2 linked regions of the Canis lupus familiaris genome follow. The protein of the gene in region 1 purifies or fractionates together with the protein of each later gene. This does not show direct contact. Links are inferred from orthologs where the notes say so. Each region holds a gene or a part of one and is shown in the gene's direction. Other genes may lie near its edges.

Region 1 (3,809 bases):
ATCCCGGAACCCTGGGATCAGATCCTAGCCGAAGGCAGATGCTCAACCACTGAGCCACCCAGGTGCCCTGGGATCTGTGTGTTCGAATACACTGCTGTTGGGTGTGTGGCCACAGAGACTACTATGTTCCCAGCAGTCTCCCCTCAGCCATCTCAAAAAGTTCATCCCCTGATGCCACCATAGTGGCCGTTTACCAGGCCTTGTGCTCATTATGATTTTGTGGCTCTGACCGTCTCTGCTCACCCCACATCCATTCGTACCTGCTGGGTTGGTTGCTTCATTCCACTTGTTTCCTAGGGGTCGCTTGTTTGAAACCGTATTTCAGGCTGTCTTTAGGGATTCCCCCTTCACTGCACCTGTGAGTAAGCCCGCCCCTTCTCTTGTTGTAGACGGAGCTGTGAAGAACCCAGTTACATGCAGTTCCTCTCATTCGGGTGCGGCTGGCCCTGTGTGGTCTTGGTTCCCGTCAGCTGTAGTCCTTTCATCTCTTGAAGTTTGGTCCTACTTTGTTCATAATGTGGCCACTGGCTGTAACGGGGGCGTTTACATATCTTAACCAGTTGAACTCTTGAAACAGCTCTATGAGGTAGGCCCACGATCCCCATTTGACAGGTGAGGAAAAGTGAGGCTCACAGAGACTGAACAGCTTTCCTAACGTCACACAAGGTCCTGGCACGTTTTGAGTCTTTCCCTGGAACCCATCATCTCAGGGGTGTGCACTGACCTAGTATTCTCCTTTGTGCCTCTCCGCCAGCCTCCCCGGAGGCACACACTATGCCCTGAGTCCATTCTCTGCTCCGTGGTGGGCCCTGGGTGGGGGCGTGAGCGAGCTGGAGCACGGCCTCTGTGTCCTCCAGCTCGCCCTGGGCGGGTTTTAGGCTTACTGAGCCAGCTGGAGCAGTGGTGGATACCGACCCTTACTCACCGGGAAGATACGTTACCGTGTGAAGAGAATCCACTACCTTTTTGCAGGTGTGATCTTTTTTTTTCTTGTCTTAATTTCTCATCTGGCCTTTCTCTTACAGGTTCGTGCTATGCGCTAACACACAACACAAATATTGATGAAGATAATACTGTTGCCCTGCTGCCAAACGGTAACAACGCTTCTTTTTTTCTTTACTGTTAAGTACCATACAGAAAAAAAAAAGTCAAATCTCCAGATTCACTCGCCTTCTTAGAATGAACTGTTGTTAACAGGCTGGTGTTTATTCTTCTTCACATTTTCTATAAATTTATAAACACACATAAAGCTTGGTTTTTTTTTTAACATAAATTACATTCTACTGAGTTGTTTCTCAATTTTCTTTTTTCTCAATATGTCATAGACATCTTTCCCTATCAGGGCATATAGTTCTGACTTACTATTTTTAAGATTTCGAAGATATTTGAAGGGGAATACCATGATTTGTGTAACCGTTCTTTCTTTAACAGAAATTTAGATAATGTCTGTTTTCGCTGTCATAAATAATGTCCTTGTATGTACAACATATTAAAATATCCCTGGACATAAATAAGATGTATGTATTAACGTCCTTGTGTCATAAAGATCTTTGTATGTAATTTATTATGCTCCTATCTAACTGCTCAACTGGCTGTGCTTTCTTTGAGTGAGAGAACATGTCATATTTTTAACATCTCTTTTATGGAAATTATTTGATTTATAGGGAAATTAATTTTATCACTGGACAAAGACACTTACGAAGAAACTGGCCTTCAAGGTCGTCCATCTCAATATTCTGGCAGAAAAGTCATGAAATTTAGTAAGTATTATGCTCCCATCGGTCTCTAACAAGTCAGTAATCTTCCTGTAGTAATTGAAGTTTAAATGTTAGAATTGCCGCCGTTCTCTTGTTCAGAAGGAACATGGCTTTTTCTTGGCTTTAAGACTTCTGACCCACGGGGCTCTGGGCTGAGCTCTGGAGAGAGTAAGATTGCTGTTGCTTCTGATTCTCCTCGGCTGTGGGCTGTATCTTCTAAGGATCACGGAATCGGAGTGGCCCATTAAATATGTAGGATTTGGGTCAAAAAATTCAAACTGATGAACCCAAGATAAAAGCCTACAACTTGTTCTTCGTGAAGAATTTACTTTTGCCCAGTTTCTGTGATACTAGAGGAGGCACCCCCGTGAGTGAGGAGGTACGGTTGTGCCGAGTGTCCAGCCTGAACATGAATGACAGTGGCTGTCACATCCGCAGATTAGGCTTGACTTTCCAAGGGCCTCTCCTCTTGGGCTGTGACCTAGAAAAAGTATGAATTTAAAACCTCTCTTGTTACTAATTACCAATGCTAGAAATGCCCGTGAAAGGCAGTTTTGGTTTGGTAAACCAAAGGAATGCCAGAAGAACAAGGTAATTTTTGCTATTCATAAAATTCCTTTTTTTTTTTAAGATTTTATTTATTTATTCATGAGAGACACAGAGAGAGAGGCAGAAACACAGGCAGAGGCAGAAGCAGGCCCATGCAGGGAGCCCGACCTGGGACTCGATGCCAGGACCCCAGGATCACATCCTGGGCCAAAGGCGGCGCTAAACCACTGAGCCCCCCGGGCTGCCCCTATTCATAAAATTTCTAAAAATGCTGATGCCTCTTACTATCGGACTTTTTCCACAGTGCAGGCTGCGTGTATACGAATGAACTATTTTTTCCTCTTTCCGTTTTTTTAAGTTGTTTCCATTGATTTGATGGATTTATCCTTTAACCCGAATTCTAAGAAGTACGAAAGAATATCTTGGTCCTTCAAGGAAAAGAAGCCCTTGAAATTTGATTTTCTTTTGGCTTGGCATCATACAGGTATGTAAATTGTGTACCAGTACAATGATTTGGAAATCTAATTTTTAATTAAAGGGGAGTCGTGGAGGACTGAATCGTGGTTCATCCCTGGGGTCTAGGGTATTGTGTACCTGTGTGCATAATCATTATTCAGGAAGCTGCTTCGGGACCCCTGCTTTCCCCTGGAGCCATAGTTCAGGAGGATCTGGGCATGCGGCCATCTGCCTCCGTTTCCTTGGGTTCGTGTCCATCCAGAGATCTTGACACGGGCTTCAGAGCAGCCAACTTCTATTTCTTCCCCCCTCCCTTCTTGCATCTTACCTCAAACAGCCTTGGCTTTGTGTTTTAAAGTAACACAACATGTTGATTATTACAGGGTAAAAATCAGGCAAGCCATTAAACGTCAGATTAAATTTGTTGTAACTTGGAACCTATTAAAACGTTAAATCATGTGAGGTGTTTGGTCACCACATGTACTGATGTGCTGACAACTGCCGTGCGCCTTGCTCCTTGTAGAATGGGTCTCTGGTCCGTCGCAAGATTGCATTGAGTCAGATCATCACAGCTGTGATGGCGTAGTGCTCTTTCCTGGGGAATAGGGAGGACACATAGGTCCATTTGGGAGCTACACCTATCCATCTGCTCTCCATGGGGGGTTTCTGGTCACTGGGGGCTCTAGGTTGCTTGCATGAATCCTCAGTCTGTAACACCTCATTGCTTCTCCTACTGAGGATAGAGGTACAGGAGGGCAGACAGACTGACATTTCAGGTGCATGAAGTTTTCATTGAGGATCACGTGTGCATTGGGCTCTGGAGAGCTCTGTGTTCCTAAGGCTCCAGTTATTTTAAAGGCTTGTCAGCCACTGGGGAACAGGTGAGATTTTCTCCACTTGTAAGCCAAGAAGTTAGGCTGCAGTTTCCTGGATGCTGGCAGGAGACACAAATGGGATTTAATTACTCAGCAATGGCAGTGGCCAGAGGGAAGCACTCGCATCAGTGCAGCAGCTCCTGCTCCCTGCAGGGTGATAGGCAGTTGGCCG
Region 2 (3,501 bases), on another chromosome or scaffold:
TGGGGTGCCTCGGCCTCCGTGGCTGCCCCTCGCGGGGCCCGCGGGAGCTGGTGCACAGCCCCAGTCGCGGCTCCAAGCGGAGCACGACCCCGAGGGCCCCGAGCCCAGCGCGCCGAGTCTACCCTGCAGCCGTTCCCCGAGGGCGGTAGCGGGGTCAGCCCGGGGTCTGAACAGCAGGGGCCGGGACCCAGGACAAACCCGATGCCGAGGAGGCGACAGGAGCGGTGGGAAGGGAGAGGGGCACCCCGGCAGGCAGCCCGGGCTCAGGGCCGGGCCCCGCCACCCCCAGGCCCTGCCAGGCCGCCCGCACTTTCAGGCTTCCCGGCCGCGCCTCCGGGGCTCGCCCCGCGCTGGTCGCCCCCACCCGGGCCGGGGCCGCCCCACTCCCCCGCCCGACGGCGCGGGCCAGGGCAGCGCTGCGGGGGGCCCAGTGCCTGCGAACTTCGCGCCCATCCTGTCCTCCCACCCCAGCCCCCGCTCTGTCCCGCCTCTCCCGGCCGGCGGGGTTCCCGGAGAGGGGCACCCGGTGGCTCCACACCGCCTCCGCGGCCTCCACTTCCCACCTGCCACCCTTCTCCCTCTCAAAACCTGCCTTCCTCGGGCCTCCTTTTTGGAAATGGACCCCACTGGGTGTCAGGGGGCCGCGGCTGACCGTCAACGAGTTCCTCCCGGGACAAAGGGGGGGTCCACGTCACCAGGGAGCAGCGCCGGGCTTACCCCAACAGTGGACGCTCCACGCGCGGAGGCGCGCCCTTGGGAAGGGGCTCTCCCGGGCTCGTCCCACGCGCCGCAGGGGCAGCCTGGCCCACAGCCTCACCCCCGGCCCGGGCCTGCCGGGGTCCGCGAGCTCCAGCTCCGGCTCCACCCGTCCCCGGCCGCCGCGACGTGGCGCTCCGAGGGCAGCGCGGGGGGCAGCGCGGGGCGCAGCTGCAGCCGGGCCCCCGCACTCTGCGGCTCGCGCCCCCGCCGTCCTTGAGGCGGGAGGAGCGGCTCGGGCGCGGGGGGGACGGGGCGCAGGCGTTCCCCCGGGGGGCGGGGGGCAAAACCTCCCTGCGAGGGCACGGGGGGCGCAAGGGCTGGGGCGCCCGGCTCCAGGCGGCTTTGGCGTCGCACACACAGTTTTTACGCAGGTCGCCCGTTGACGAGGGCTGGCTCAGGGAGGGCAGATGGCGACTCCGGGGGAACTGCGCCCCGCAGCTCCGCCCCGGCGCCGCCGCCGCACCTCCCCGCGCACCGCTCCGGTGGCGGGACTCGGGACTGGATCCCGGAGGCGGCCGGGGCTCGGGCGGGGGCGGGGCCTGGCGGGGGCGGGGCCTGGCGGGGGCGGGGCTCCGGGCTCCGGGGCGGGGCGGCCGCTGAAGGCGCGGAGCCCTGGGCGCGGAGAGCGCGGCGGAGAGCGGCGCCCGCTGGAGCCGGTCGGGGGCGAGGATCGCGCCGTCCCAGCCCGCCCGCCGGCGTCCGCGGCGCTCCCGCACCCCGGTACCTGCGGGCCCTGGCCAGGGGCGGCGGCGGCCATGCAGCCCCAGGGCTGAGGCGGCCCCATGGCCAAGTCCGCGCCCCCGCGGTCCCGGCAACGACGGCGCATGGAGAACTTCCGTAAGGTGCGCTCGGAGGAGGCGCCGGGGGGCGAGGGGGCCGAGGGGGGCGGCCCGGGCTCCGGGCCCTTCGCCGACCTGGCGCCGGGCGCTGTGCACATGCGGGTCAAGGAGGGCAGCAAGATCCGGAACCTGCTGGCTTTCGCCACGGCCAGCATGGCGCAGCCCGCCACGCGCGCCATCGTCTTCAGCGGCTGCGGTCGAGCCTCCACCAAGACCGTCACGTGCGCGGAGATCCTCAAGCGCCGCCTGGCGGGCCTGCACCAGGTCACGCGGCTGCGCTACCGGAGCGTGCGCGAGGTGTGGCAAAGCCTCCCGCCGGGGCCCGCGCCGGGGCACAGGCCTGGAGAGCCGGCCGCCAGCCTCAGTGTCCTCAAGAACGTGCCCGGCCTCGCCATCCTGCTCTGCAAGGACGCCCTGGATCCGCGCCAGCCCGGCTACCAGCCCCCGGACGCCCATCCGGGACCCTCGTCGCAGCCCGCCGCGCCGACGTCCAAGCGGGGCCCGGGGGGAGCCGCGGCTGCCGAAGGCTCCGCCAAGCGCCTGCGACCTGAGCCCGGGACCGCGGAGGAGCGTCCGATGGCCTGAGAGCTCGCGGGGCCGGCCCCTCCTGCCCCCGGAGCCCCGACCTTGAGCCGCATCTCCAGCCTTTCATGCCCCGGTGCTCGGTGCCCGGGAGGTGCTCGGGACGTAGCTCCTCGCGCCGTCAGCACCGGGCCCGGGGCTACGGGGCGGGGACCCCAGGGAAGCGTCGTGGGCGCTTGGCTGCTCCGCCACTTGGGCTGCCTGGAGACGCACAAGTCCACCGAGCCATGCCGGGACCTTCTTCCGGGAGGGGACGGTGGGCAGGGGGACTCTTGAGCCTTGCCCAGGACCCCCGAGGATTGGAGGCATCCGGTGTTCCCGAGGACAGTGTGTGGCCCCAGGAGAGCTCTTGGCACCCTCTCCACCGTTGGCGGCTGAGGCAAGGGGCGAGGAAGGACAGCAGACGGCTGGAAGGCAGGACAGTGGGGGGGGGGGGGGCGGTCTATGTCACCTGGGGAAGACCTCTTCCTCTCTAGTTTCCTTACCCTGCTGCTGTTAAGGAGCATCCTGCTATCTTGGTGCAGGGGCGTCCCCATGGGCTCTAGCTCTCTTAACAGTCCCCCTTCCCCTGCTGGCCCAGAAGGACAGACCCCAGACAGAACTCTCTGCCTTACCCCCTGAGCTGGAGTCCTGCTTCCAATAAAACAAACACAAAAATGGCTCTGGCCCCAGGTTTCTTTCTTAGCACTTAACCTATGTGGAAACTGCTTTGGCCTGTGGCCTTGGGTCTCCATCCCCTCCAGCCTGCAGTCTTGTTCCAAGGTGGAACAAGGGGCACGTTGCCCAGTCCCTGGCCTCTTCTCTCAGCTTTCTGTCTGGCTCTAGGCTCAGGGGCTGGTAGCCAGAAGGGGGCCTTTGTGCCCCCTCCCCCCCCCCCGTGCACCACCACTGAGGGAAAGAGAGGAGCTCATTGCTTTCCTGGGAAGGCAGGCAGGCTGGCAGGCCCCAGTGAACTCCCCTGGGGGTCACTGCCAAGGGAGGCACACCCCACCGGGCTCCCTAAACCTGCCGCCTCCTGCCAATTGACAGCCATATCCAGAAAGCTGGCACCAAACCCCTCCTCGCCATCCGTAGGATCTCCCCTTCACTGCTCTCTCAGAAAGGACAGCACACCCTTGGGAGAGGGGGAGGAGACAGACTGAGCACAAATCCACTGCTGGAAATTACTATTCAGCAGAGAAGCTGGAACTTGGGCTGTGAATCACTGCAGGCTCCCTGATAAGCTGCTGCCTCCAGCCCTGCACAGCTGTCTGTTGAGAGATAACAGCCTCGTAAGCCTCTGGGTCCAGCTCAAGTCAGCTGGGGCTGGGGGTGGGGGGAG

Evidence for each region.
Region 2: the proteins of RPP40 (region 1) and RPP25 purify together in Homo sapiens (affinity purification with mass spectrometry; 3 studies listed by BioGRID and IntAct, counting the BioPlex papers as one, with this or other methods). This does not show direct contact. The link is inferred for Canis lupus familiaris from reciprocal best matches to the Homo sapiens genes RPP40 and RPP25.

The regions. Positions count from the first base shown.
Region 1 is NC_049256.1:6,406,540-6,410,348, reverse strand, and holds part of RPP40 (ribonuclease P protein subunit p40), read left to right. Parts: intron 1-1,025; coding exon 1,026-1,094; intron 1,095-1,664; coding exon 1,665-1,760; intron 1,761-2,664; coding exon 2,665-2,790; intron 2,791-3,809. UniProt on the Homo sapiens protein: Component of ribonuclease P, a ribonucleoprotein complex that generates mature tRNA molecules by cleaving their 5'-ends. Also a component of the MRP ribonuclease complex, which cleaves pre-rRNA sequences.
Region 2 is NC_049251.1:38,425,870-38,429,370, reverse strand, and holds RPP25 (ribonuclease P protein subunit p25), read left to right. Parts: upstream 1-1,478; 5' UTR 1,479-1,541; coding exon 1,542-2,183; 3' UTR 2,184-2,839; downstream 2,840-3,501. UniProt on the Homo sapiens protein: Component of ribonuclease P, a ribonucleoprotein complex that generates mature tRNA molecules by cleaving their 5'-ends. Also a component of the MRP ribonuclease complex, which cleaves pre-rRNA sequences.